Arabidopsis thaliana: one gene and its partner. The protein of the gene in region 1 interacts with the protein of each later gene in a pairwise test. Each region holds a gene or a part of one and is shown on either strand. Other genes may lie near its edges. The genes, in order: AtPOT1b and TRB1.

The links.
Region 2: the proteins of AtPOT1b (region 1) and TRB1 interact in binary tests that used the Arabidopsis thaliana proteins (3 or more experiments, as listed by UniProt).

What each region holds. Positions count from the first base shown.
Region 1 is NC_003076.8:1,921,585-1,937,383, reverse strand, and holds AtPOT1b (Nucleic acid-binding, OB-fold-like protein), read right to left. Parts: upstream 9,042-15,799; 5' UTR 8,917-9,041; coding exon 8,796-8,916; intron 8,703-8,795; coding exon 8,566-8,702; intron 8,472-8,565; coding exon 8,279-8,471; intron 8,123-8,278; coding exon 8,058-8,122; intron 7,924-8,057; coding exon 7,835-7,923; intron 7,694-7,834; coding exon 7,427-7,693; intron 7,335-7,426; coding exon 7,258-7,334; intron 7,178-7,257; coding exon 7,119-7,177; intron 7,021-7,118; coding exon 6,868-7,020; intron 6,793-6,867; coding exon 6,589-6,792; 3' UTR 6,433-6,588; downstream 1-6,432. Other genes in the region: NUDX27 (nudix hydrolase homolog 27), read right to left, coding at 116-208, 541-591, 690-917; AT5G06330 (Late embryogenesis abundant (LEA) hydroxyproline-rich glycoprotein family), read left to right, coding at 1,800-2,423; NHL3 (NDR1/HIN1-like 3), read left to right, coding at 5,673-6,368; LOG7 (Putative lysine decarboxylase family protein), read left to right, coding at 12,106-12,213, 13,295-13,392, 13,877-13,907, 14,228-14,327, 14,434-14,504, 15,006-15,149, 15,241-15,342. UniProt on the Arabidopsis thaliana protein: Negatively regulates telomerase activity and participates in chromosome end protection. Binds RNA non-specifically. Associates with a regulatory Pol III-dependent lncRNA, which represses telomerase activity in response to DNA damage.
Region 2 is NC_003070.9:18,485,815-18,501,613, reverse strand, and holds TRB1 (telomere repeat binding factor 1), read left to right. Parts: upstream 1-4,295; 5' UTR 4,296-4,485; exon of another isoform or gene 4,486-4,692; intron 4,693-4,863; 5' UTR 4,864-4,900; coding exon 4,901-5,050; intron 5,051-5,154; coding exon 5,155-5,363; intron 5,364-5,745; coding exon 5,746-5,830; intron 5,831-6,432; coding exon 6,433-6,516; intron 6,517-6,692; coding exon 6,693-7,052; intron 7,053-7,160; coding exon 7,161-7,175; 3' UTR 7,176-7,543; downstream 7,544-15,799. Other genes in the region: AT1G49960 (Xanthine/uracil permease family protein), read right to left, coding at 1-133, 219-379, 467-544, 626-717, 818-876, 969-1,055, 1,151-1,247, 1,331-1,515 and 6 more; AT1G49940 (uncharacterized protein), read left to right, coding at 10,794-10,897, 10,996-11,128, 11,333-11,366, 11,637-11,714, 11,842-11,933, 12,014-12,115, 12,553-12,631, 12,883-12,953. UniProt on the Arabidopsis thaliana protein: Binds preferentially double-stranded telomeric repeats.

The DNA of each region.
Region 1 (15,799 bases):
GCTCAGTTTGGTGATACACAGAGCAATTCAAACTCTAATCCAAAAACCATGGAAATGATGAAAGGAATCTTATTGAAATATAATTTACTATGAGAGAGAGATGTCAAAAGCGTGCCTCCGCAATGAATTCTGCCGAAGTAACCCCTGTTTCTTCTCTCAGTTCTCTAAAGGCAGCGTTCCTCAAATCTTCTCCCTCATCAGCACCACCCTGTAAAAGCAGATTTAATAAAAACCTATGGCCAAAATTGATACCCTAAAGGATCATAAACTGGTGAATCTACAGCCTAAGCTACTTCTCAGGATTGTCAATGCATTTGGTTTTTACTTTGTAATTTCAAATGAACAATTCCCTAAACTATGCAATTCAACACCTCTTTAGCAACAAAGGTAAAAACGATATCACTCAATACACTACAAAGGAGCTGTTGTTTTGGTGAGAAGTGAGAACTAAGCTCTCCAAAGCAATCAAAACTACTTAGACACCGAAAGCCTATATAATAAACCCATTTTGTAATAAAATAGAGCTTATGAGAGATTCACCTGAGGCATCTGCCATGTATCCGGAATGTGAATCTTTGACGCCGTAAAAATCTGCAAAACCAAAACCATTTCAAATCCAAATCAAGTGGACAAATTCTTCCAAATCACATAAAGCGATGAGAGAGGAAGGAGAAGAAGAAAGAAGTTACCTTTCTACATGGGCTAACGAGACAAATCCCAACATTCTTCCGGTAACCAACAGGCGGAGACTCAACTGTTCTTGCCGGCGACGATAAGGCAACGGATAAAACGACCAGTGGCTTTGGTGAAGATACAGAAAACTGTTTCAAGCATGAAAATTTCACAGGAAACGAAGAGAAATCTAGATGAACAGAGATTGCTGATTTCCCAATGAATCCAGAAGCCTTCACGGCCATGGCGCACGACGGCAACTTCTTAGGCGGCTGCCTCTCCTTCGTCCGGCTCAGAACAATCGGTGATTGGTTTCAATTTTCTCACTAGTGATAAAATATATTATTACGACACTACCCTTACCCGCTTAGACATTAAACGATATCGTTTCAGATCCCTAGGGTCAAAACTACGATAAAAAAAAGAGAAGTCAACGTGAATGCTTGTATTGGGCCCATTTCTCCCTTAACTCGTAACCCAAAAGGCCATTGAGCTATTGTCCCAAATAAAAGCCCAATTAATTATAACAAGAAAACGTAGAATTTAAATGATTGACACTTGCAAATAATATATTCCAAAAGTAACTTAAGGAAATAAAATGAACTCATACATTACTAAAAAATGCTTAAATTTATAAATGTTCTGATCTTCGCAATACTTAAAAAGTCACTTTTTCATGATAATGCAACATAAAATTTAACGGCAAATCAATATATATAATATCACAACGAGTTAATACTTAATACAGAAACAAATCAAATACAACCATTATCACAAATTATATCATTTTTGATCTTATGATATTAGTTACCAAAAAAAAAAATAGTTACTCCAACATTAATTACTCCATATTACTCTAATATCTTTACCAATCACACCCATAAGTATTCGTAATAATTCATTACCAAAACATTATACTTACAGTACCATACTTTCTATACTTTATCGTTATTAAAATAACTTTTCTACAAAGACTATATAGAAAAGATATCTTTATCTTTTTATATCTTTTCTACAAGTACTTTTATCTTTATATACACTTCTTCTATATAAAGGTCACGGAGAGTATTTTAAGATTCTCACTTTCTCTCTACCACCAAACCTCCCACACCACCGTCACCGGAGCTATGACCTCAAAAGACTGTGGCTCTCACGACAGCCACTCATCATGCAACCGTAAAATAGTGATCTGGACGATATCAATAATCCTCCTCTTAATCCTTGTCGTAATTCTCCTAGTTTGGGCAATCCTTCAACCATCGAAACCACGCTTCGTCCTCCAAGACGCCACCGTCTTCAACTTCAACGTCTCCGGCAATCCACCGAACCTCCTCACCTCAAATTTCCAATTCACTCTCTCCTCTCGTAACCCTAACGACAAGATCGGTATCTACTACGACCGTCTTGACGTCTACGCTTCTTACCGGAGCCAACAGATCACTTTGCCGAGTCCCATGCTTACCACTTATCAAGGACACAAAGAAGTCAACGTTTGGTCTCCTTTCGTCGGTGGATACTCCGTTCCTGTGGCTCCGTACAACGCTTTCTATCTCGATCAGGACCATTCAAGTGGCGCGATCATGTTGATGCTTCATCTCGACGGTCGAGTTCGTTGGAAAGTCGGATCCTTCATCACCGGAAAATATCATCTCCACGTTAGATGTCATGCGCTTATCAACTTCGGGAGTAGTGCTGCCGGAGTTATCGTCGGAAAGTACATGCTCACCGAAACTTGTAGTGTTAGTGTTTGACAAATTAAGAGGTACTTAACGGTGACGGTGGTATCGGTCACGGATTTTTTCATTATTAATAACGTAATATATTTTATATATAATCTCGTAGTAGTTAAGTTTTATAACTTTTTTTTTCCTACGTCATAGAGAAATAATATCAAGAATTGCAATCGGTTGCGTTATTGTTATGACGAGCTGTAAAAGATTCAAAGGAAACACTAAAATATAGTAAAAGACAAAAAAAAAGGTTTATTTTTATTTCAGTTGGTAACAATTTATGATGGATGATTCAATTAAAAACTGTTTTCTATATAATGATAATAATGTATATTCTCTTGTTTCATTGACTATGATTTTGTGCTGATCCAGAGTGACGACAATTGAATTTTAGAAATATCTGATCGGAACGGTAACCATTTGTACGGTGTCATTATCTATAGTATCTTGTCTTTTTTTCTTTTTCTAAAACAGAATCAAGACCCATTCTCATATAGTTTTTCAATTTCCCATTAAAGTTTAGATCTTAAAGTTGGCTCTTTACAACAGTTCAGTACATTCAAAGGAAAAACTCTTGATCAAATCTATATTCCTAATATATTGGTTAGTTTGTCTCCTAAATATTCTTGGATCTTGAAATGATAAAAAGTAGAATCATGTTGCTTATTTTACAAGAAATAGGGTATTTTTCTCCAACGTTCGAATCCCACGAATATTCTATATTATGTATTTTTTGGGTTAATAATGAAGTCATCTTATAACCAACTGCTTCGACTAATTTTGCCTCTTTTGTTAAGAGATTTGTAGGCGTAATTCTCAATCTGGAATCCACTTTCTCCAAGAGAGAAAACTTGCGAAATGATTCATTACATGTGCTATTGTTATTATATTCGATATGTATATGTATTTCAGAAAGAAGTCCAATGTGAGAACATTCAAAATGTACATAAGAGCGAGGTCCAATTTGAGCATAACGTACGCAATTTGTTCGTTAGATTCGTCACCAACAAATATTTGATGTGTTTGTGAACGATTTTTTATGCAATTTTTTAATCTTAGTCCCATTTATCTACTAACTCCCACGTGTTTTGTTTCCTTTGTACATATACACGCTGCCGAATCCAGTTTGTATATAAACATAATTTTAATTGAAAATCTTCGAAACATTGTACTGAAAATTTGCCATACGTAATCTAGGTAATTGATCAGCATGATGAGAAACTTTACGCCCATCAATCCATGAATATACAATCCTAGTTTGGAACCGAAGTTATACTGTAAAAAAGCAGATGATAAAAACACACAATTGTCTACATAACCTTCCCTTTTTGCCTTTTTGAAGTCATACATTTTATTAAGCGTGTAAATGATCAAGACTTGAATATATACATAAAGATTCGATTTTGTTCATCTAGAGAAATTCATAACCAAAACATAGAATAAACATTCATAACCAAAGGATAACGTAAGTAAAATGAATCATGGAGTTGTATCATTGGTCCACTGGTTAACACGATACAGTTTCGACTTTCGAGTCGTATTGTATTCCAGATTTTAACAATGATTAACAACACAAAATTATGGTGACAACCACCAAATTAGAATTAGTAATAGATTACATGAAAAGTATACCCTATATGTTACTTCCTTAGATATATGTCCATTTAAACTTTAGTGGACATCTATTCAACGCAATTTCTCAATAATTTATTCGGATGAATATCGGAATTGAGTAGATAGGGATCGGTCGTCGGTTCCTCCATTTTCAAAACCCTAAGAACAACCAAAGTCTTCATCATTTATTTGTCCAATTCCAATGATCTATTTCGTCCAAACGGCTAAGATTGAAGGAGTCTTCGTGAAATATTTGTTGTCTAATTTAGTTTAATGTTTTATCACCACACACATTGACACCGCATTAAACTCTAACAAGTTTTTCAAACACGTTTGTTCATCACCAGGTTTTTCTTTAAAATTATTGTGTATTACTTATCATATACAATGAAAATTATTGTTATACCGTATAACACATAAAAATTTCTTAAACTACATTGACTACTTTAATAAATAAATAAAACACATTACATCTCATATTATAAGAATACTTTTTTTAGTTGTTACATTTGTTTTTATAAATCCTCCATAGTTGTTTTAAAGTTTAATATGATTGAGTTGCGATCTAGTATTATTATTCTTTATTAAATATGCTTGACCTTTCTCATTGAAGAAAGATGTAAACATTTGAAAGCATGGCTTCACCTAATCTTCCTTTCAATTACAGGTCACATCATCCAACTCTAAACACCAACCTCCCTTAGTTTTCCTTGCTTTTAGCATTATAACATTAACAAGTCTTTGCAATGTTTAATTTTCTTTGAATTTGAGAAATCTTTCACATTAAACATTTTCATTAATTGATAATTAATTAAATAACCTTTATCAGTAGAACTGTTCTCATAGTTATAAAATAAACATTTGGAAAACCCCACCTCAGTTTCAACTTGCAACCTATAGATCAAAGTTATTTCATTTCATCATGTTATATATATAATGTCGAAATTCTTGACCGGGACTGGTTTGTCTTTTTCTAACTTTGTATAGGCTTATTGATATTTTGGCCACATTTTCTATTTTTGTTCTCAAAAGTCTTTCGTCAAGTTTAAGAAACAATGGCTATATTAGAGCAGTCGCTTTTGGGGAAGTTTCTCGGAAGCTTAGTTACATTGTAAAAATGACTATTCACAATTCACAAACTAACTACCGCACTAAGTATCATCACATTCTCACATGTCTTATATAATAAAAGAATATATAAATAAATATCTACATATGGATATTCTTGTATGCGATCGGCACTAACCTCATTAATCACCAAATCATGTATATATGGATTCAAGAAATAATCTCATTAAGCTTAACCAAAGTATACATAGTCAAATTGAAGAAGAAACCATATAGTAAAATTTAAGAAACAATCTTTAATGTATATCAAACTGTTAATCCTAAATATCTAATAACAATCTCGCAAGTAACCTCTACTTAAATCAAATTTTCATCGAACAATATTAAACCGACGCGTCACCTTTGACTTTGAAAAAACAAAACCGCGTCAAATTAAATCGTTTTATCTAATACACGTTATCTCTACAGTGTATATATATTACGGCCTCTTCTTCTTCACTTCAAATCATATTTACTTTTTCAAAATCTTATCACAAACCAAAAAAAACTTTCTTTCAAAATCGTTCTCTGAGGCATTTTAACGAACAGATGGCGGACTTAAACGGTGCGTATTACGGACCATCGATTCCACCGCCGAAGAAAGTCTCTCACAGCCACGGCAGACGCGGCGGTGGATGCGGTTGTTTAGGTGACTGTCTTGGCTGCTGCGGCTGCTGTATCTTAAGCGTCATCTTCAACATCCTCATAACCATAGCCGTCTTATTAGGCATAGCTGCTCTAATCATCTGGCTCATTTTCAGACCCAACGCTATCAAATTCCACGTCACCGACGCTAAACTCACCGAATTCACACTCGACCCAACCAACAACCTCCGATACAATCTCGATCTCAATTTCACAATCCGTAACCCTAACCGCCGGATCGGTGTTTACTATGATGAAATCGAAGTCAGAGGATACTACGGTGATCAGCGATTCGGTATGAGTAACAACATCTCGAAGTTTTACCAGGGACATAAGAACACGACGGTGGTTGGAACTAAACTCGTGGGACAGCAATTGGTGCTGCTTGACGGCGGAGAGAGGAAGGATTTGAACGAGGATGTGAATTCTCAGATCTATAGGATCGATGCCAAGCTGAGACTTAAGATTAGGTTTAAGTTTGGGTTGATCAAGTCGTGGAGGTTCAAGCCCAAGATCAAGTGCGATCTCAAGGTTCCTCTTACCTCTAATTCAACCAGCGGGTTTGTTTTTCAGCCGACCAAGTGTGACGTTGACTTTTGATTGCTAGTCAAGAGTCAATGCTATTATAGTCTTCTTCGAGTTCATCATATTACACTTGTTTATTGATTCTTATTTTAGATTGTTTTGCTTTATTATCTTCCATACATATCGTTGGAGAGAGATATTTTTCTTATGTAATGTTTTATTGTATGGTTCCATGTAAATAAATAATCACATTTTGTTTAATGCTAATAACTATACAATTAGCATTATGATTGTCTCATGAAGCATTGATCCAAGTATCAAAAATGCGGAATCTTCTGCTTTCCCACTGATCCATTTTGTGTTTGTAGAATGAGAACAAGCAACATTGTACCCATGGAGGATTTCTTGGCACTTTCTCCATCTCTTCACCTCCCAACAATCTATTCAGCTTCTTGACTAGAGCCTCTTCATCAGATTCGTCACACCCGAAAAACTTTTCCTGTAAAAAGATATACAGATATAAGTATTAGACAATCCTTCAATGAACACTAATAATTAATCGTGTTTTACTTACCCCTTCATCAGCATATAGAGAAGCATGGATTCTGGCGGTTGCATCTTCTAGTATAGCTACCAATTTGATATTTCCGTTGATATCACGGAGTTTTCTGACGTCTCGGGGATACACTTGTATGAACCGAACAACACACCTGAATTTAGCAGTCACCTGCATAATAAGCATCAGTAAAACATCAATTCAAGAAAGTTTTCACTATACTCTTTTCCTACAACTTATGATAAATCCAAGGTTTTTGGATACATTACATTGTGATAGGTCAGGATGTCCATCAGAGAAACAAATGGAGCATCGTCATGGGCAACCCCTAGAAAAGATTAAACCATAAGTATTATATTAAACGTTATGTCAAATTTCCACAATTCCAAACAATTAGCTGGTTATTACCTGTGATTTCAGAATGTGAACGACTAATGCAACGCGCGATTGGGTTCCATCTCGGTGAAAACTTCTCCCCACACATTCTGAAATGGTAAGAAAGTGTGTTTTAAACTGAAGAACAAACGGACGAAGCAGAACATCAACTCACAGGATAAGAAAAGGTGTCAGCAGAAACCTTTGAGGACTAAAGGCTTCCATCTCTCTGCTCATTGTGTACTGCATCTTTGTAGAGGGAGTAAAAGTGGCGTTCCATAATCCCATATTTACTTGAAAGAAAAGGTTCAGAAGCTTCACGTGTTGACCAGGTTGAAGACAGTGAATGGCCTGCTTCTCACTAACTCTATCTACTATGATCCTCAAAACGGAACCAAAAGTAGGAAACTTACGTAACATGTATGTAGGCAACATCTCGGGTTCTACACATAAAGGAAGCCTTTCTGACCTATTATGATTGCAAACAAAAACAGAGTGAGATGAGTAACACGTTTGGGATATATGACCAAAATCTAGTAAATGAATATAAGACGCATAAGAGAAACTTATTTTTACTCGTTGTATTTTGGTTGAGGAAATTCAGACTTACTTAACCAAGATGTTGCAGGGTGGCATCTCAGTTCCATCCCAAACAAAGAGGTACCATCTATCTTTATAGACCTTGGAAATGTGAACAATCTTCAAAGGAAACAAACAATGAGAAACAATGTCAAAGACATAGCAGACCATAAAAGACACTTACAGTTCCATAAATACAAATGAACATGAAAAGTAAAACCAAAACATATTCTTTTAAGGAATGATCAATCTACCTGGCAAGATAGGTTTGAACATTCGCCTTCTTTGATATCTTTCAGGGATGTGAAACAGCATGACCCTATCATAAAACAAAACAAAACAAAACCTCACAACAATCGCAACTTACCACCAAGACATAGAACACATTAGAGATAAAGTACGAAGCAAACATTTGCATATAGAGATTTCAGTGAATAAGTAGAATTCATTAGAAATGATATTGCATCATAATTACCATCTTCAAACTTGTACGTGATCATCCATTCTCTCAGATTCGATAAGAAGTTCTTATCCTGTTCTCTCATCAGGAATTTAGGTGAGGACTGGTAAGGTATAGAATCCACGCTATGTTTCCCATTGAATAAAGCAAAAGACGAAGAGGTTGTTTCATTGCAGAGAGCTGTGATTTTCCGGTTAATCAGCACAATCTGAGTTTAAACCCAGAAGAAAACTGTTTAACAACAAAATCAGCAAAAGCCACGAAGAATTGATCTTCTCATATCAGAGGAATAGTGTGTCAACCTTTACACGTGAAAGTAAGATGATATCTCCGATCGATTCAACACGAGGAAGGTCTCGAATGGTACGAGCGACGAACTTAACGGGAAGGCCAGATCCCGAATACCATGGATCAACGATTTTGAGCGTACATGAACAATCTGCGACAAATTTCGAGCAGTCGGAAGTATGAAAAAACGAAGCTATGATGAAATGAAATAGCAAAAAAGGATTTTGGGAGAGGATCACGATACCAGAGCCATTGGAGAATCCTAGCTCAACGATGACTCCAATGAGGTTAACATGAAGATGCAATGCTTTGAAAGCGTCTTGAATTCTCAGGAATTTGTAGTCATCTCTTCTCTCCTCCTCCATGTCTCTGATCGTTGGGGTTTTGCAAGGGTTTGAAGGAAATCGACAACGGCGATGGATGCGATGACTCGGCCGGTGCCACTCCGGTGAATCTTGCTGAGTCGTTTAGGAGCTCTCGTAACTCAAATGGGTCTTAAAGGCCCAATAATAATGATTAATGGGCCGCCGCTACCAAGTTGCTCATTAAGAAGAAAAAAAAAATCTATGATATGAGTTTCATACAATTGGATGTTTGGAGGTTTTCGTAACTTAAATGGGTCTTAAAAGCTCAATAAGAGTGATTACTTTACTAGGCCCTCAGCTGAAATTCTGGCTATGCAAAGTAAAATTTCTTAAACATTATAATAATCTTTTTTCGAAATTACTAACTAATTGTATAGTTTCTTTGGGTATAGAAATATATATTTTTTTGTCTAAAACAATCCTTTTTAGAATTACTAATCTATTGAATGATTTTTTTATATAATATGTTTACATATGAGTCGTGACAAAATCTTTAATCAATATTGTATCATTTTCTTGCGATGTTTTTGCATATGTCAAAATCTGTATCAAGAAATATGACATTGATCATTTTAGTTAGCAACTTTAAAACTAACTTTTATATAATAATATGGTTCGAAAGAAAATTAGCAAGAAGATGGAAGATAATTAGAAGCAATGAAGTATCTTAAACTTGTTAATGAAATTATAAAAACAACGAAGTATCTTTCGTTTTATTAACCAATAATTAAATCTAAGTGATCAAAGATAGATGGTATGCGTTTTCTTTCTAATTTTATATGTATCACCAGCTCATACAATCTCTCTGATCATCGTGATATCTTAACGAAAGCGACTTCGATATACTTATTTTAAGGTCTTTCGATCTTGTTTAATAATTAGTAACATATAAATATTGACATTATTCGTAACCTAAAATCCAACATAAGTTCGACAGTTATGCAAACCATAAGTTTAGATACTTGATGTTGGCAAAAAAAAAAAAATGGCAGCATCCAAGCCTTGGATTCCAAGTCTTTCATAAGAAATCTTTACGAGGATACATACATTATCACTGTCTAATTATGAATTTATGATTTTGAGTTATGACTTATGTCTTACTTGGTTAAAACAAAATCATCCGTGGACTAGCCTACTTGAAAAACTAAGGTAGAAAGGTATAGGATTCAATCTGTATTGTTAACCTATAATTGTACTCTAATGGTTTGCGTTGCTTTGGTCTTCAAGTAAAAGAAGCATCATCCAAATTAATTTGATGCGACGTAAAAAAGGGTTTAGTCAAAGGATGCGATGTAAGGATCATCCAAATTAGTTGTATGATTACATCAGCTAACAGCTGTTTATCTATTCAACAATTAATAAATATATGTGGAAACTAAAATATATATCCTTTTACTAATGAAAAAAATCTATCCTTGCACTACGTAAATACGTAATTGTAGATGGGTTTTTCGTAAATAATGGTGATCTAATACTAATTTTTCATATCCGTTATGCATTGTCGGTTTATATACATACATACACATAAATATTTGGTGACAAAAAATATAAGTGTGACAAACCATAAATATATTATTATTTACAATGTAGGTGTGAAATGTGATCAAGGGACTATTGCTTTAGAGGGTGGAAATTTGATAAAGACGTGAAGAACTAGATTAGAGTGATTACGAGACACCTCACCAGACTCTAAATCAATTATAGAAATAAAATTGATAATATGGTTTCTATTCCGAGTACTCTGATTAGCCAAAAAAAGAAAGAAAACATACAGTATTAGTCTAATATAATCTGTAGTCGAGATTTTTCGATTATGGGTCATTGAAGCTTGGAGTTCCGGAATGTCTTGCGACTTTTGTTAGTGATCACGCTTCTCAATCATTCCAACTTTTCCTGACATTTTCTTCGTAATCAAATTAATAGTATATGGTTCCAGTGCAAATCTAAACTTTCTTCTTGACTCCAAGTTTCAAAACCGCAAATGAAAAGAATCGAAAAATCCCAAAGTTTGTTTTAACTTATTATTTGACTATCCATTATCTATCTAGACCAAAATTGTTAAAAAGGAACCAAATCGAAACCAAATCAGATCACTGAGACAACTAGCTATAACTTATAAATATAAATGTCTAAACCTCGATTAGAAAACTAACCACCTCTTTCTTCTTCGTGTGGTTGTCAAATCTACAACGTGTACCGTAGATTAATATATTAAATGAGCAAATTACATTGACTTCTTTTCTAAGAGTTTGATGATCACTGGAAAAGTGAATACTTTCTGTCGTAGAATTATGTTACTCTGCTACACACAAGAAGTTTTTCTTAATTATTATTACGGTACAAGTTTTACGCTCTGGATCGCAAAAATAGTAAGTTTTAGGTCATCTAATTTTTTGTCAAAAAAAAAAGAAGGTTATCTAATTTAATACTTCGGATGGACATTATTGGAAAAGTGAAATGTTCAAATGAAAACATGATCCATGAATCTGGTTGTATTGAACCAAAATCTGATACATATAGTTTTAGTAAGATAGACACTAGCTAATAGTTTGAGAAAAATTGAATTGTTCAAAGAAAAACATGATCCATGAATCCAGTTAGTCGTGAACTAATCAGATAACACAATCTGAACAGATCTTCCAACCTGTGTTAGATCTAATCTAATCTTTCCACACAAAAATAAATAAGTATTAGAAGATCATATTATAAATCGCGGCCGTATACAGACATAAAATGACTTTTCAAACAAATCTATTATAATACAATCTTAATTTGTAATAACACCATATTATAATAAAAATGTTATATAGAAAGTTTGCTGTATAAATAAGATATAAATATATGTAAGCCGTGTTTTAGCTAGTTTTAGAGAGTATCCATGGAATATTCAAACTACAAATTAAATAATACAAAAAAAGTTAGTAACTTAATTCTTCGCAAGATGAGAACACAAAATAAAATAAAATATAGATAGAATAGTAGTAATAATTAATAAAAGGGGGCAGGGCATGGGAATCGCATTTGCATTTATATTCTCCCACTTCTCCTCTATATATATATATAAATACTAACACAATTCCAAAGTGTGGTCTCATTCATCATAATAATCATAGAATTTTCAACTTTTTAAGCTCTAGATAGAGAGAGAGAGAGAGAGAGACAAAGTAACAAAGAGAAAGAGAGAGAAATATGGAAGAGACAAAATCGAGATTCAAGAGGATCTGTGTCTTCTGTGGAAGCAGTTCCGGCAAAAAACCTTCATACCAAGAAGCTGCCATTCAATTGGGTAACGAGTTGGTAAGTTCTCTCTTCAACTTTTTCTCTACTCACTAACATATATATGTATATTTAATAGTTTATATATTACATTCATTTTCACTACTCAACACAAAAGTAACTTATTAATCATCTTGTTGTGTCATTTGTAAATACTTCGCTTTTTTAGATTTCTCGTTTTGGATAGTTTGTTTGATACAAAAGGCTGATTGATTCAAAACTTTATGATGGTATATAATATGAACTCAAAAATGAAGATTTGATTTGAGATACGAATTCAGAATCTTCTTTGAAACATTGGCTATTATGTGGTTTTGATTGTGTGTTGCAACGAACAATGATGAATCTACCAAACGTGTGGATGCTGATTTTCAATTTTTTACTTTGTGAAATCGAATTTGTGTTATGGTTTAATGTTATTGGCATGAGAGAGAGGGATGAGAAAATAGTGATTTCTACTATGCTTAGCTGTAACCCGCCTGTCACTCGAGCAGCACTCTTGCATGACCTCTTTTTTTTAGATAATTTTTTGTATTTTCAGTGATTTACATTATTACACACATATATCTTGTTTTTTCCATGAGTCTGAGGTTTCATATGATTTTTCTTAAACCTAAAACTTAAGTTTCCAAGTATAAACCAATGATTTTGTTTACGGGAAAGATAAATAATAATGACAGTTTTTGTATTGCCTCGAGGGGCAATGAAAACCAACAAAAATGTTCGTTGGAAGAATAATGACTCTATGTACAAAGCGTGTGTTGTGGGGTGTACTTCTCTTCAAACGACACTAAATTGTTTGAATAAATAAAATAATTTGAAGAACCCTCTTCTGATTGATCTGTAGGTAATAATAATAGTATTAATAGGATGGTGACAATTGAAATTAGGATTGATGATGATGATGATGAGCTATTTTTTTGTTTTTCCTTTTCTCTTAATTGAGATTTGATATTTGATGTGGTTGCTTCTTTTTGGGGTCGATTGTGGATTTGGGTTTGTGACACGTGTTCATTTTCATCATGAAAACTCTGTTATCATAAATAATGCAATATAATAATAATAATAATGAAAGAAATTGATGGTGGAAATGTGGTTGAAGGTGGAGAGAAGGATTGATTTGGTATACGGAGGTGGTAGCGTGGGGCTTATGGGTCTCGTCTCTCAAGCTGTTCATCATGGTGGTCGCCATGTTCTAGGGTTTGTTCTCTCTCTCTTTCTATGTATCTATTTATATGATGATGTATTTGCTAGGGAAGTAAGCTATAAATCATCATTGTGTTTCAAACATTTGACCGTTGATTATGACTATCTACATGATGGCTATTAACCTATTGTTTTTGTCGCATAGAATTTGATAAGTTGATTAATCTTCTTTGGTTATATGAAGAGATACTTGAGTTTCATTAGAGAGGTAACATAACAACGACAAAAAAGGATCTGTGCATGTTTCCTTTGTCCAAAACTGTCTCTTTGCTTTTTAAATTATTTTACTAAACTCAAGCTACAACTAGTTTTATTATCTGTGTTTGTTTGTTCTATCAGAGAATCTCGTTTCAATGACCTATCTATACCAAAATAGCCAATTTTCATATTTCTTTCTAGTTAATTGTAGATTGAAATCCATACCAGTTTTGTTTTATATACATCATTCTTAACCGGTATATTCACTTATCTCTTGTAGGGTCATTCCAAAAACCTTGATGCCAAGAGAGGTATGCACCAAATAAAGCTCTATTGAATGAAATATCAATTTTGTTGGACTTGGTATTATATATATAGTATTATTGAGATAGAAATTGCCTTGTAATGATCTACATAAAATAGTGGTAGGACCAAAAAAGGAATGATTGAGACTTGGAGCGTTTTTTGGTTTCCTTCACGATACATCTCCTTGACCAACTAATATTTTTATATGTTAAACCCACAATAAAAAGACCATGCAATATAATATGTAAGATGTTTTGCGGTGTTCACATTTTAGAGGCAATAATAAATAAAGATACCTAAAAGTTATGTTAATAATAATTTGTAGATAACTGGTGAGACCATCGGAGAAGTTAAAGCCGTGGCCGATATGCATCAAAGGAAAGCTGAAATGGCTCGCCAAGCCGACGCATTCATTGCCCTTCCTGGTTTGTAATCCAATTCTTTATATGTAATAAAAGTATAAAACTCATTTCCTTTAGAAAAATGGATAAGATCTAAATATGTCGAATGAATCTATTGGTAAATTGTTAGGTGGGTATGGTACGTTAGAAGAATTGCTGGAAGTCATTACATGGGCTCAACTCGGTATCCACCGTAAGCCGGTACGTAATCAGGGAAATTAAAAAATTTCGTTTAACTTTTACGGATTATATAATTCATTTTAAAGTATGATATATGAGCTTACATTATTGTTATGAGTTACGACCGGAATATGCGTGTTGGATATATTTTTCTCATATTTAAAACCTTAAAAAGAATTTATATTCATATAATGTGTGGTTTAATTTGACTGAATGAAGAAGATACAAATGGTTGCATATGTTACGTCGGAATAATCACATGGAACAAGATTCCTTTTGGGATTCTTTATACCTCTTAAACTTTTTTGGTACTATTCTCATTTTAAATTAAAATGTACATATTCTAAGAGCATGTAATATTATGATATATGCATTGAATATAAAAAACGATGTGTTGTCACGACGTACGACTACATAACCCCTGATTGTGAGACCGGAAGCTTCCCATGTCGTAATCTTTCTTTTATACTATTTAAAGATATTTGGTTTCTAACATTATTTTTGGTCAATAATTTTTGACAGGTGGGTCTTCTTAACGTGGATGGTTACTACAACTCGCTGTTAACGTTTATTGATAAGGCTGTGGACGAAGGATTTATATCCCCAATGGCTCGTCGAATCATCGTCTCAGCTCCAAACGCTAAAGAGTTGGTTCGACAACTCGAGGTATATTTCGAGCCTCATATTCGTGCCAATATAAGACATTCGATACATGGTTCATTTGTTGATGGTACGTACTCTAAAAATGATGTTATAGGAATATGAACCGGAGTTTGATGAGATAACATCAAAATTGGTTTGGGATGAAGTGGACCGGATAAGTTATGTACCGGGTTCGGAGGTAGCTACCGCTACGTAAGGATGTATTATGGGGAGTTTATTTTTTGGTAAAAGCAGTGTACAGCGGAAATTAAGTTGTTTAACATCAGAAGGTAAGGGCGGAAAGAAGACAAAAGAAAGTATTGGGGTCGTTTTGATAAACATTATTTTGTAGGGGTGGTTTAAATGTGTGAAGTGGATAAACCATGTGGGTAACTGCTAACCGCGTATATACCAAACCCTATCACTCCCCACTTGTCTTTGTACATTTTGGTTTAATGGAAAAAAAGGATAGGGCTATTTTCAAGAAATGACAAAACGATCCTTTTCTTTTGGTTATTTTCTGATTTTATCCATAACTTCTAGTTTTTAACTTTTTTCTCGTGTCAAAGGTATCAGATTTTTATTTAACCAGAAAATTATCATGTACGATATTTTTTAATTAATCCGAGTGGAGAATATTCCGAGTAATACCACAACATAATTTTGTTGTCGGC
Region 2 (15,799 bases), on another chromosome or scaffold:
TCTCCCACCAATGTCTTCCGCTGTCTCTCCTCACCGAGGCATGTCCATAGCTATGAGTACAGTCCAACAAGAACGCTGCCATTATCCCAACCGTTGCAGCGGAAGAGAATATCACTTGCATTATCACGTTGAACTGTCGTTGGCAACACCAAATACGAATCAATAAAGAGGACAAGACAAAAAGAAAATGATTGTTTCTGTTTCTCTTGAACACTTACAGCAGAAGTGCGAGTGTGGACAGGTCCACGACCAGAGATGAATAGATATTCGGTGAAGTATTGCGCCACAGAGAGTCCAATGAAGATGGAGAAGCCGAGGATAAATTTATTCCTAAAGCTGTTTAAGTTGCAGAACTGAAGAAGGCCAAGTCCCGCAGAAGCTGTTCATAAGGTCATCTGCTTAATCTCAATCATATTTATAGAAGCTATAAGGATCTGAAAGAGTTTAGTTTTTAAGTTATACATACCAACATAGGCGAATAGAACACAGTACAGAGCTGCAAAGATTGGTAAAGGTATTGATGCAAGAACAGCCCCAAACTTCCCTGTTTGTCACCAAGTTTTGCAGTCGATTACAAAAAAAAAGACCAATTGTCTTGGAATGACTTCACGGGGTTGAGCATTACCGAAAATGGAGAAGAAGATCATGAAACCTGCAGATATCTGAACCACTCTTCTGCTCCCAACCTTCGTTAATCCTAGAAGCCCTGTATTTTCTCTACAAATGACAAGAACAAACAAAAACAGAGTTTAAAATCCGAAAACGAGTTTTCTTGATTAAAGAAAACTGCAGAGCAGAAAGAGAATGGTTCTATTACACCAAAGCTGTGGAACCAGTTGCTGTTCCAAACAGTCCATTCAGCAAAACGCCTATGCCCTGTTTTTATTCAATTCCCACATAGCACACACATCGGATTCACATACTAACACACTTGAAATCGAATCACAATAACAATCAATCCGTTTTACCTGCCATCCAATGCCACGGCTAAGCACCGAGGGAGGGATATGAGTTGCACTGCCAAATCTTGAAGCCGCGATGAAGGAACCTGTCGTCTAATCCATTGGAAAAAATTCAACAAGAAAAGGTGATCTATCAAAAAGCTAAATCCTTCTGCAAACCAAAAATGTGAACTGAAACAGTAGTAAACCTCGACAATCGCCACGTAAGTAGCTGCCATCATTGCGAATGCATCACTTCCATGGAAACTTGGACGTCCCCATTGCAATGGATATGGAATTCTCACCCTAAGAATGAAGGAATTGTCAAAAATGCTCTGTGTTCTTACTGAAACAGAGGAGATCCAATGAAAGATGGAAGATGACCAGACCATGGAGAAGCACTAATGAGACCAGACCGGTCTGTTCGACAACTGAGCTGTGTATTGTCCGGTCTTTTGTCATAAGCTCCAGCTGCTGTCAGAATCTCTGCGTAAGCCCAGACGATCGCTATTGTGAACAGAACAGCGAATTGCTCGCATATTGATCTCTTACACTTAAACAAGTGAGGAAGATACTGAAAACATTACAACCATTGTCAGAAATTCAGAGATGATAAGGTTTTATATAAAATCTCACGAAATTAACCGAAACCTGAGATAAAATTATCAGTATGATCAATGCTGGGAGTCCAATTTCTATACATCTCGCAAGCTGCAACACAAAGACTATTTAAGCTCCCTCAACAAACAAACAAAAACCCTAAAACCAATTCGATCTTTATGGCAGTTAAATCTTGAATCGTCTACCTGAGGAAACGCAAAGGCGAGGAGGCCAACGCCGGTGAGAATCACAAGAGGAGCAGCCGAAAGAGGAGAAAGAAACCTGAAGTAGTTTTAATAAAGCAAAAGCAAAACCTTAAAGTCTTAGTTACTTCTTCCACAAGTAATAATATATAATACAACACATGAGCTTTTTATCTTTTTTTCTCCGGACCTGACCAAGATTCTCCACAAACCGAAGAAACCCATTATCATATGACTTATTGAAGCAATGATAAGAGCTCCTTGAATAGCTCTCATAGTCTCTTCAAATCTCTGCATTTAACACATTCATTAATTTACTGTTTTCGACTAATTTGAAACTTTAAATGTTTTCAAAGAAGAAGACAATGGATTGTGTGACTAACGAGATGAGGATGGAGATAGTAAGTGAATCGATAAGAGAAAGTGATGTAAAGAGCAGGGATGAGGTAAGCATAAGAAGCTCCCATGACCACAGGAAGTCGACTTCCGAACAAACTCTGCAACAACGTGTTTATTCCTGACACGAACAATACTGTGTTTATGACTTCCGCTTTCTCCACCTGAAGAAAAATGACGTCGTTTCACATCAATTTATTTAATTTAGAAAGAGTTTTCTTCTCGTGAATTTGAGCTATTAGATGAGATTAGGGTTAATGCTTACGTCGCCACCACCCATTAGAGGGACGAGTATGGAAGGTATGATTACAGTAGTTCCAAGCATTACAATGTAATGTTGAAACCCAAGAACTATTCCTTCCGCTGCACCATTAATCATATAAAACCATATCATTTTCTCAAACATATATTGTTGACAAATCAAAGAGAATTTGGTGACGATCGACTAAATAACTCATATGAATAATGGAAACGCTTCAACTGAAATTTTTGTTAAATAATCACAAACGCTTTAAAAACGAGTTTTGTAGATTAATAAGAAATACAACCCTAATTTAAACTAAATCGTATAGTTCATCACTATCGGTGAAACATAAATTCATTATCCTAAAGACTAAACATAATTTTACTGCTAATAGAACACAACTATATAACAAAATCTAAATGAAAAGAAAAAAGCATACGCCAATTTGGAGAGCTCGAGACACAAAATTCGACTCCGGGAAGCTGATCTTTAACTGGAAATGGTGCAAAATCATCGGTCTTTGTTGCCATATCTCACTCGCTTCGAGAAGGGCTACTCTCTTTGTGATGAGAGCTGTAAATTCAAACTAAGGCTTTGCTTAAAACGGATTCAAAAGTGCTAAGTAATCGTTAGGCGGGCAACTTTGTTGACTCTTTCTTGCTTTTTTTACTTTCTGTCTTGTGTTCTCGTGCACGTAATTAACACTAATGCTATACGTAGAAAAATGAACCGGATTAAACCACTGGTGTGACTTAACCAGAATTGTCCACTTGTATATTCATGTGAAGAATATGATGTTTAATATTACAAAGTCTTTATAAGTAGCAAATTATTCTCATCTTAATGCCAAAAAAGTATACAACTAACTCCATCCACCACTTAAACATTCTCTTTAACCAATATCAAGAATTATAACTAATGACTAATTGGTATGACTTATTGTTGGCTTAATGAAAATAAGATAAAACAATAGGATTATCAGTTAAAAAATCCAGAAAGATTTAAGGAGGTTTATTTTGAAATAAATTTGATGAATTATTGTTGCTGACTTGAATTATTATCAAGTACATATTTCATATCATAAATAATTTTGGGCTCATGAGCTAAAAATGTTAATTTGGTAATTTAATAATTTATTTTGGATGGAACTAATTGCTAATGTTTTATTTTGACTGTAATTTGAAATTATTTGGACAATTATTAATTTAAACCCAAATATGAAATTAGTTTGTATTATAAAATCATAAATATCTAGGTGAAATTAGAGAAGGTTCTTTCTTTTTACTGAACATCTGCAGAAAATAAACCTAGTAAAACAAATCAACTAAAACTATGTTCAACGAACTTTTCTTTTTTTTACGAAATGATCTTTATATTTCAAATTTTGGAGAAATTCAAAAATAAATAAATTATAAAACTTTTTAATGTGTTTAAAACAAGTGTATAGATTTGGAAAACTCTCAAAATATCGCAACTACCATGTCCACAATTTTTTTTTAATTAGTGGTACAGTCAACTAGATAATTTTCAGAAAAAATAAACAATAGAGAAAATTCTATGGATAAAATGAAAATAGCATTTTTGAAAAAAAATATCACAACTACCACCCCACCACACATTTCTGAATTATATCTAGCAACATATTTGTATTTTATGTTCAAAATACCACTTAATCATCAAATTTTTAATCACCACCAAAACTTTCAAACATAAACCAAATTGTTCGTGTAAATATGATCTGGGTCACTGCGTATTAGTTTTGATAATATATTTTCTTGACAATCATATTAACACTTCATTTGGGGAATTTGATATTTTCTTTATCATTATTAAAAGTTGAATTTGTAAATATTTAGACAATTTATAATCTTCAGAATATAATAACTAGCGTAAACAAAAACGCGTTTTAAGGCCGTTTGTAAAAAACGCGTTTTAAGGCCGTTTGTGAAAAAACGCGTTTAAAGCTTAATTGGTCTAAGCGGTTTGCCGCATCAGAATTGACGGAGGTCCGTTACTCTGAATCCTTGTATTCGCATTAACCCTAACTTTTTCTGCTTCCCAAGCGTCTCGAAATCTGAATCCAGAGATTAAACAAAAATTGGTATTGCGAATGATCGATTCTTCTTCCTCTAAACTCTGATTCCTGGTGAATTCATCTGTTTCTTCTTTCTCGATTGTGTATATTCTCAGCATGAGATTAGGCTTCATTCTGAAAGAACGGATTTTTCTAGGGTTTGAGTTTCGGCATCTTTCAGTGATGTGAAGTTGGTGTTTGCTATTGCGTCTTAGTTTCTGAACTATTGCTGCGGTATAGTTTGATAATCTATGTTAGGGTTTCCTCGGAACAGGGAATTAGGGTTTTACTATTCTGTGGTATTTGATGATGAATTGTGAGCTACAACTGAAGAAAAAGTTTACATTTTTATGTAGAAACTTTAGTTCTGATTGGTTTCGTGACATTTGATATGTATTGTTGCAGAACGGACTTGCTTTGACACAGCAGACCGTAAATCGGGATGGGTGCTCCTAAGCAGAAATGGACTCAAGAAGAAGAGTCAGCTTTAAAGTCTGGAGTTATAAAGCATGGACCTGGTAAATGGCGCACAATTCTCAAAGATCCTGAATTTAGCGGAGTCTTGTACCTGCGTTCCAATGTTGATCTTAAGGTCATGATTACTTCTTATCCTTTTTGTCAGCTTTGATAATGCTACTGTATTTTGTTTGTGATTTTATCTGACTGGGAGATGGTTTGTTTATTGTATTGGGACAGGACAAATGGAGAAACATGAGTGTCATGGCAAATGGCTGGGGATCGCGCGAAAAGTCTAGGTTAGCTGTTAAAAGGACGTTCTCCCTTCCTAAACAGGAAGAGAACTCACTAGCCCTAACCAATTCTTTGCAAAGTGATGAAGAAAATGTGGATGCGACCTCTGGACTCCAAGTTTCTTCTAATCCTCCTCCAAGGAGACCTAATGTAAGGTTAGAAATGTGTCTATTTTGTTTCTTGTATTGAAGAGGAGTTGCTTTGTTGTATCTCTCTCGCTGGTATTTCTGAAGTTGGATTACATCTCAAAATGTATGGTTTGCCGTCACTTTTTATTCTGTGCAAGTCGATAAGTGTTGGATTACATTCATGTGATATGGGTTTGTTTTCACACCTCTGTTTAAGTTGTCTTCACTGGCTTAGTACATTTCTCCTCCTTCTTACTATTATCATGCGAGCCGTTTGCTCAATCCTATCACTGTGGCTTTATAATTGTGAAATTATGATGAGGATTTGTAAAGTCCCACTTACACGTAGATGTTTGTATCACTCAAATCTTTTATTATAGACAAATTGTAACTTTTAAAAACGTTGCAGGTTGGATAGCCTTATAATGGAAGCAATAGCTACCCTGAAAGAACCTGGTGGCTGTAACAAAACAACAATTGGTGCCTACATTGAGGTATTCTGTTTTCGTTCTTGCATCTTTTTTTTCTTTTCTCATAGACAATATGTATTATTAAATTGTTACTCTCAGCTAAATCGCATCGTGTTACATTTCAATTTGAATGATCCTCAGTGGGTTGATATGTTGTCAACTAGAACCTGTGAAGCATTGCGGATGAAAACCAAAATATAGCCTTTGGTTGTGTCAATAGAATATATTCCTCAATATCAATATAGGCAACGGATGTGGCAGTTTTATTGCAAGGCAATGGGTGACATCTTTATCTTCTCCTCTCCTGAATAGACGAATGTGCATTGAATATCCTGACTGAAACTAAGCTGAAAGGGCTAGAAATATTTCTGTAATTACGAGATTTATTGTGGTGGCATCTACTTAAGTCGATATAATTATGAGAATATCGTAAGAGTAGATTCTGTAGTTAATTCAGAAACACGCCAATGACATAAATATTTTCGTCTACTTATGTGATTCAAGCATGGGAAATATTGAGTTCAACTTGTACGATTACTGCTTTGAAGATTCTTTGTCTAAGTTCCTTGTAAAAGACTGATTTAGAGGACTGACTGTACCCGTGTTCCTTTTTTTTTTTTGTGTAGGATCAATATCATGCTCCACCAGACTTCAAACGCTTGTTGTCTACCAAGCTAAAGTACTTGACATCTTGCGGGAAACTTGTGAAGGTAAGAATTCCTACATTCATTTAATGCTTTTGAGTGCATATATTTTTGGTCTTTTGAATAGTATGTATGACTTTTTGTGCAAATCAATTTAGTTCATGGATGTCAGTAGAACAGAGACATATCCATTATTCACTGCAACTTGCGAGGTTTATTGATCTGGGCTTTCTCTTTTACAGGTTAAACGTAAGTACAGAATTCCAAACTCCACTCCCTTGTCTTCCCACAGGAGAAAAGGTCTGGGGGTGTTTGGAGGAAAACAGAGGACTTCTTCTTTGCCTTCACCTAAAACAGACATAGATGAAGTGAATTTTCAGACAAGGTCACAGATTGATACAGAGATAGCCAGAATGAAGAGTATGAACGTACATGAGGCGGCAGCAGTTGCAGCACAGGCAGTAGCAGAGGCAGAAGCTGCCATGGCAGAGGCTGAGGAAGCTGCAAAGGAAGCGGAGGCAGCAGAAGCCGAAGCAGAAGCAGCTCAAGCTTTCGCTGAGGAAGCTTCAAAGACATTGAAAGGAAGAAACATCTGCAAAATGGTAAAAAAAAGAAAAAAACACCCATATTCTTTTATATCACAAGACATTATATCTATGAGAGAACTTTGAAAATCTCAAAATGCTTTTGTTGAAAATGTGATTCGACAGATGATCCGTGCCTGAGGTAATGGAAAGCGAGAGAAGAAGGAGACTAAATGTGAAGAGAGAGTAGAGAGAAGCCTAGTGTTTGTGTTGATCATTCTCTTTACTTGGGAAGTTGTTTTTTAGTAGTAAGCAATCAAATATGTTTGTCAGTATGTCGTCGCTCTGACTCTTTTGATTCCTGCACAACTTTTGGGAAAAAATGTTTTATTTGGCTCTTCTCACTCTCCAATATACATACAACTATCGTTAGTAATGTGTATAATTTATAGACCGATCTATCTATGCACTATCATGCTTATCGCCAATGAGCATTTTGATTATGTATGTATTATCAATTAATAGTAGTACTGTTTTTTTAAGATATAAAAGCACAATGACTTTGGGACACTATATGGATCGTTTTCGGGTTCAGAAAAGGAATTAAATCCTTTTAAATCCCCTGTAAATCTTTTAAAAACTCTTGTAAATCTATTTTCTATTAAAATTATTTTTTCTGGGGAAAATGATCTTTTGGAAGAAAAAAAAGTTTGGCGGGAAAATTTTTGTCGGATTTTTTTGGTCGAAAAATTATCTTCGGAATAATTTTGATAGGAAAAATCATTATTATATTTTTTAAACCTAAAATATTTTCAAATAAGAGTAAAATGACCATAAAAAATCAAAAGATGGGATAAATGAAAATAAATTACAAAAAATGATAGAATTGAAAAGGAGTAGTTTGAAAGGGCATTCCTAACAATTTCTCCCGATTATATATGTAGTTGGGATTATTAGGTGATTGACAGATATATATATAATCATCCGAAATTTGACATACTAAAATAATTTGTAATCATTGATATTAAAAATAAAAAGACCATGGTATTTTTACTATAATTGTGATTCTGTAAAGAAAATAATACTATGCCACTCACAGTCACTGCATAGCCAACATAGGATTAGAACCAAACCGAGTCAATCCAAAATTGTTCACGGAGCACGGTAATTACATCATGGTTAAGCTTTAACCAAAAACATTTCAGGCTGTTACTAAACCAAAATTTTAAAATCTTGGGTTAAATTTTGGGCTGTTAACGTTAAACATTTCACACATTACAATCGGTGACGTGTCAAAAAATAAAATTCAAAATTCTATTCTCGAAATGGGCGGCATTTTTGTTTTTCCAAAATTGAATTTTGTTAAATAGTCTGTTAGAAGACAATCATCTACAAGTTCCTCTCTGATCTCTCTAATATTTTAAAACCCCTAAATTCTCCATTTCAAAAAATGTCTGTAAATTTTGAGAAGCGGTGCTTTTCCGGCGACCCTGCTTATGCCACCAGCGACTAGAATCTAGAAATTGCGTTCTCTCACGTTATTCGATTTAATGGTCAGAGATTCTCGAATTCTGGATTTTAGTCGAGTGAATTCCGATGATTACGAGTCTGTTTTTGATTTGTGTTTCTCTGCTACTTGATTCGATTTGCTGTTACTATGTCTCTTGTTACTTAATTTGTCTTATCGTTACGTTAATCTTCTTGATTTTATTAGAAATCAAATGATTTTGTCATTTCATTGCTTTCAATACCTTCTAACTCCTGATTTGTTTGATTTGGGTTTGACAGATCACTAGCGTCTAGCGATCGCGAAACTGGGGGATCAAGAGGATTATGATTTGTGACGAGAACAGGACTCTTTAAAGGAAGCGACAGTGGATGAGACCGTGGTGGTGGTGGGTGGCCGCCGTGAGGTGGATTACGGAGGCGGTGACGGAGGTTTGTGGTTTTCAATCGAATTTATTATGATTTAATTCCACCGTCTCAAATTTCTTGTGTTCGTTTTTCTCTGCGAACCCAATAAGTTTGATTTTGAATTTTCGCGATCTCATCCGATCATTTTTGATCTAATTTGTTGTGTCTTTGGTTGATAGAAGCTTTTAGAAATCATTTTGGTTGTGGAAAATCATATTGTTTTCTTATGTCATTGCCATTCGAAATTTTAAAGGTTTGTTGTTTTGATTCATATGCATAGTTATACTGAAACTTGCTAATAGTTTTCCAAATGGTGATAAAACTTTAGAAGACACTTGTACATTATTTGTGTTCTCTTCATAAGATTCGTCTAGGTCGTAATTCAGATAAGTGAAAGCATCTTTAGTGTTGACATACTCATTTATTTTGATCTCTGATATCTTGTGCTTTCTTTTCTCAAATTTTGGTGTAGGGAGCAATTGGCGACTCTATCTCCTTTGCAAAGAGTTTGATGTTGTGTCACTTTTCTTCTGCAACAACAAATTGGAGAGCCACAGAATTCTTATGGGTTGTTCGCAATCATTCAACCAAATGCATACACATACATACATGCATTCATTCATACACACATACATGCATTCATTCATACACACATACATGCATACATGCAGTCATTTATACATACATACATACATACATACATACATACATACATACATACATACATACATACATACATACATACATACATACATACATGCCTGCATACTTACATACATAAATGCATACATAATTTACATTGCAAACATACATACATACATCTACGCTTATGTATAATATGTATACTTTCGTACTTTTACACATCTATAATTTCTTCTCTGCTTCTTTGAGTCGTTGTTTACTTACTTGATTCCTTAATTCTTTGCCTGATTCTTCGCTTACTTTTTTTTTTTTTTGTCAATCCAAGTTTGCTTTACTCATTTTACTTCTTCATTACTTGTTCTGTTACCAACTTCAGAGGTATGTTGCTTACTTCCTTCAGTCCTTGTGAGCTTGCTTCCTTCCTTAATTCTTGGTCTGATTCTTTGCTTTCTTCATTCCTTGTTTAATTACCAGGTTCAGTGGTTTGTCGTTTACTTCCTTTGATTCCTTGTTTACTTAGTTTTTTTTTCCTTGCTTCCTCATTAGCTTCTTGCTTCACTGTGTACTTGATTTCTTGCTTACATGGTTAACTTGATTCCTTGCTTACGTGCTTAATTTCTTACATACTTTCTTTTCCTTAACTACTTGATTTGCTTAATTTGTTTTCCTCATTTTCTATCCTTAACTTGCTTTCTTATTTGCTCATGAACTGTCTCTGTTTATTAAATATTTGCTTTGCTTTAGATCGTTCTAGGACTATTCAAAGTCCTTCAGAGCAACCAATCAGCTAAGTTATAACTGTCTTAACTTGTCAGACCAAATAAACTAAGCTAGATAAAGTTTATTTGATTATTTCTTATCATTCAATTTATAGAACCTTTAAGCAGTGCTAGAAGTTTCTGGAAAAACTTCATCTTAGAGTTAAACAATACATTCCGCCAACAATGAACTGTCACTTGTAAGTTGTCTAACTCTTAAGACTCAATGAACTTCTTTTTTGTTTTTTTTCTGAAAACTACAACAATCTTTTTTGATAACAGGCAAATTTTATGTTTGTTGAAGGTATGGCTGAGACAAGCTCAAGAATCATTAGAAAATGTACTCATCGATCTCTATAAGGTAAATAAACTCTAACCGATACCATTCTCTTGTTTCTCTCAGTTATTGTTATTAGATTGTAGAATTGACAAAATTGGATTGAAATTTTGAGCAAAAAGGTGGAAGAACTAAAGAGCAAGTTGAGCTCTTAAAGCTAAACTTTGGATGATATATCAAGAAGAAGCATTCAATGGAAAACCAGCAAAGATTGCGAGATCTCATGGCCGAAATTTCAGGTCACGGTCGAGAAGGAAACCTCTAGGATATTGGTAAGACTAATCTCACTAGTCTTTAGTTTTGATTTGATTTATGAATTCTCTTGATCAATTAACTGATGGATTTGAATGTGATGTTACAACAGCTGAAGCCGTGTATCGGAAACTCAAGTGATAGAGCCAGATGCAAACAAGGCTTGTAAAAAGTTGCCAAACATAAAGTGCATTGTCGAAGTCTTACTGAAGTGGCTAGAAGGAATGAAGAAAAAACTTTTCAAAGCAAAGGTTTGCTTCTAATACCTGTTTTGTAAACGCAGTATGCTCAAGATGCATCTTTGGTGCCTCAAATTTAAACTTCATATTTTCGCGAGTTTATCTTCTCTTAACATGCAAATGTTGAGCTCCTCCTAGTACATTAACTTTATTGCGTTTATGCAAACATACATACTAGTTGTGTATATATATATTAATATTTTTTCCTTTTTTCAGAGTCAGGTTGGAATTATATTTGAGGCCAAGAAAGGTAAGGCATATTTTGTTAGCTTTGCTTACAATGTTCAAAGTTGTCTAGATTTTGGTATATTTGTTAGCTTACATCTCTCTTGATTTATCTCAGACCAAGAAAGGTAAGGAGAAAATAAAAATGCAACTGGCTCTAACATAAGTAGATCGGAACATTCAAAAGAAACTTCATTAAAGTACTTTTCCAACTCAATTGACAAATTCTCTCATAGAAGTTCTGAGTGCTCAAGTACTGATGTTCTTTGTTTATGTTTCCAGGACTAGTAGGTAGAAGATATTTTGGATAAGGACGAGGACGAGGGCAATGATGGATACTATATGGATGTGGAGTTGCATGGCCATAGCAAGGGTTCCTCTTTTTCAAAATCTAATGCATCGTTTTAAGGTTGGTTGTTATATATAAATTTTGGCATAATCTTGGCTTGCTATGCGTTTGGATCTATCTATTTGATCAATGTTTTGGTACCATATTACAGATTCAAGTATATTCAGAACCAGAGTCTTCTTAAAGTGGATGAGTGAGACGATGGACCACTTTGACACAAAACAAGATCAGCTCTTTGAACAAGTGAGGTTTGCAAATGAGTTAGATGATGAACCTCTTTCAACAAGATTTCGATGTGGAAGGAATTTTAATCATTCGTGAAGGATATATCTGATGTAAATTTTGATGCCAGACACAACAAATACTGTGAGATCTCATGGCAAGAAATTTCAGGTCACGGTCGAGAAGAAACCACTAGGATCTTGGTAAGAGTAATCTCACTAGTCTTTAGTTTTGATCAGATTTCTGAAGTCTCATGATCAATGAACTAATGGATTTGAATAAATGTGGTGTTACGGCGGAACGTCGGATGGGCTTATATGCAACTAAGGGTCTATAGAGCAGCTAAAGACGAAGTCTTACTGAAATTGCTACAAGGAAATGGAATAACCTTTTCAAAGCAAAGGTTTGCTTCTAATAACTGTTTTATAAACGCAATATGCCCAATCTTTGGTGCGTTGAAATATAAATGTTGAATTTCTGCAACTTTACCTTCTCTCAAACATACAAATGTTGAATTCCTGCTAGTACATTAACTTTCTTGCGTTTCCCCAAACATACATACTAGTTGTAAACATATATATATATATATATATATATATATATATATATATATATATTGAGATTCTTGTCCTTCTTTCAGAGTCAGGTTGGAGATGCTTATAACCAAATTTGGGTTGTGAAGCCTGAGGAAAAGATGAAACTCCTGAAAAATACGAAAGGTTTGCTTACAATGTTCAAAGTTGGCTAGATTTCAGTATTTGTGTTAACTCACATCTTCTCTCGGTTCATCTCAGATCAAGGAACGTAAGGAGAAAATATATGTAGCTGGTTCTAACATAAGGAGATCGCAACATTCAAATGATATTTCATTAAAAGTACCTTTCCAACTCAGTTGACAAATGCTCTCATAGAAGTATTTGAGTGCTTAAGCCCTGATGTTCTTTATTTATGATTTTCATTATTGATATAGGTGGAAAGTATTTTGGATGGGGGCGAGGACAACGATGGGAAATATATGAATGCAGTGTCGCATGGCCATAACAAGCCTTCCTCAATTTTTAAATCTAAGAAATCTAAGGCATCGCTTTGAGGTTGATTGTTATATAGTATACACATTTTGGCATTATCTTCGTTTGGATCTATCTATTCATATTTTTGGTACATATGACAGATCCAAGTATATCAAAACCAGAGTCTTCTTGAAGTGAATGAGTCGATGATTAAGCGCTGACTTAATGTTATAATACAAAACAACGTACGTTAGCACTTTGAAAAACTGAGGTTTGCAATTGAGTTAGATGATGTGGAAGGACTTCTAATCATCCGTGAAGGAAATATCTAATGTAGATTTGGATGCCAGGAACAACAAAGCTAGTAGTTTCTCTGTAAACTAATAAAGGAAGAACATTACTGGAAATACAAGGATCGAAATCTATTATAATTCTTCATTAATTAGCTTTTAGGGCTTATATATATACCAAGATTTAAACAAGGTATTCTGGTTTGTATCTAAATATTTTACTTGGTGGTTTCAGTTATTCAGGGTTTGAGATATTGGCGTAATCTTGCAACCAGCTTCTGAGCCAAGAGGGTCATGAATTTTCTGGCAGAAGGTTAAACGACTGAATACTGCATTTTCTGATCATTCAATTTCTAGAACCTATGAGCAGTGCCAGAAAGTTTCTGGAAGAACTTCATCTTGGTGTAAAATAAGACGATCCGCCAACCACGAACTCCCACTTGTAAGTTGTCATTTTAATGTAATTTACAGTTACTATACCAAATCATATAATATATAATTTTCTTAACTTATCGTGAATGAATATACATTCAGATCAATGGAACTATGTTTGTAGAAGGGTTATTATCCTGTACACTCTGTATCAAACATTTTATACAAGCTAGAAGCATTGCCAGAAGATTCTAGAAGAACTCATCTTCGAGTATTATAAGACAATCAACCATCCACGAATTTCCACCTGTAAGTTTTCATTTTCTTGATCCCATGATTTTTCATTATGCATAGGACAACTTTTTAATCGTACGAACGACTTGGTAGGTCATCTTGTATATATTTGCACTGATGGTACATTATTTCACGTGTATATTGTTTTAGATTTTGCACTTAAAGCACTGCAATTCGTAGCTAAGAGATGAAACATAAGAGATGTAGTTCTAGAGAAAAGCCAAAAATTGGATCAAGAAACAGACTTGTGGAAAAATATCAAATCTTTTGAATGGTAATTCGATAAGAACTTATTGGGGTCTTTGTTTCTCTTGTGTTCTTAAATCAGAAACACATTATGTCGCTTATCTCTCAGACATCGTTTTGCTTATTTCAGGTATACTGCAACTTCGGACATAATTAACGTATATCGTTTCTTAGGTTGACTCCTTTCCCTAGTATGTTACTCCAATCTTTTCTGCAATAATCTTTCGGTTTAGCTATTATAGTTTCCAGTAACTTTATTTTTTTGATATTACCTATATATACAAGTATTTCGTTTCTTCTCTTATAACTTGAAGTTATCATCTCTTTCATTTTTATGCAGGAGCCGATCTCATAGCCAACAAACTTTGTGAATTAAAAGAAGTTATGTGGTGAGTAAAACAGGTATAGACCAATTACATTGACAATGTTGTCTTTCCCTTGACAGCGTGATATCCCAACCATTGCATGTATGCGCCCACTCATGTACACATGCATATATTCATTTTTGCATACATAGATACATACATATACACATACATACATACATTCATACAGGGGCGGACCCAGCAAAAAAAGTTGGTGGGGGCAAAATGTTATAGGGATGAATCGAACATGGGTTTCTAGCGAAAATTTGAAGGATATGAAACCATTTGGCCATGCCACTTAATTTGTTTAGTACTAATTTTTTGTTAATTTAGATATTAGTGGTGGCAGGTGCCTCCACCTTCCTTAACGTGGATCCGCCAATGCATTCATACATTCATACATTCATACATACATTCATAGATACATTCAAACATTCAATCATACATTCATTCATACATACATTCATAGATACATTCAAACATTCAATCATACATTCATTTATACATACATTCATACATACATACATACATACATACATACATACATACATACATACATACATACATACATACATACATACATACATACATACATACATACATACATACATTCATTCATGTATATTTGCTTCTTAGTTCATTGCTTGTTTCTTTATTTACATCGTTAACTTATTTTACTTGCTCTCTTCTTTGTTTCGTTTGCTTTCATTTGCTTAACTCGGTTGCTTGTTTAAATTTTACATACGTCCTGCTTTGTTTCTTTGATCTTTGCCTACTCAATCGCTTCATTCATTTCTTAACTTGTTTACGTCTTTCTTTTCTCAACGTTTTAATTTATTTACTAACCATGGTTATTATTTAAATCATGTTATAGTTTATAACTATTTAAAAACCATCAGCTTTAATTTTAAAAAGTAAATACTACTTTTTATTGTGGATGTATTACGAATGTATAAACTCTTGTATTCAATTTGAAATCAATAAATGAATGAGATGTTATATAAAAAAAAAAAACTACTCTAATAGCTACTTAAAATCTAGTGTAAATTGATAAAATTTGGAAATGACACTAGAAATGGAAGAATTTTATCTCTTTACATTTAATGGAATAAATTGTCATCAATTTAAGTATTTATTACTTTAACTTTAGTAAATGTGATGATAGCATTATCATATGTTATATTCTACCGCTTTTTGTAAGGACCAATATATAACTACACATATTTTTATGATGAAACGATAGTCGCTTTTGTATTCACAAGTTATTGGAAAAAGACATAAAAAAGATTTTTTTTTTGTTAAAGAGAGTA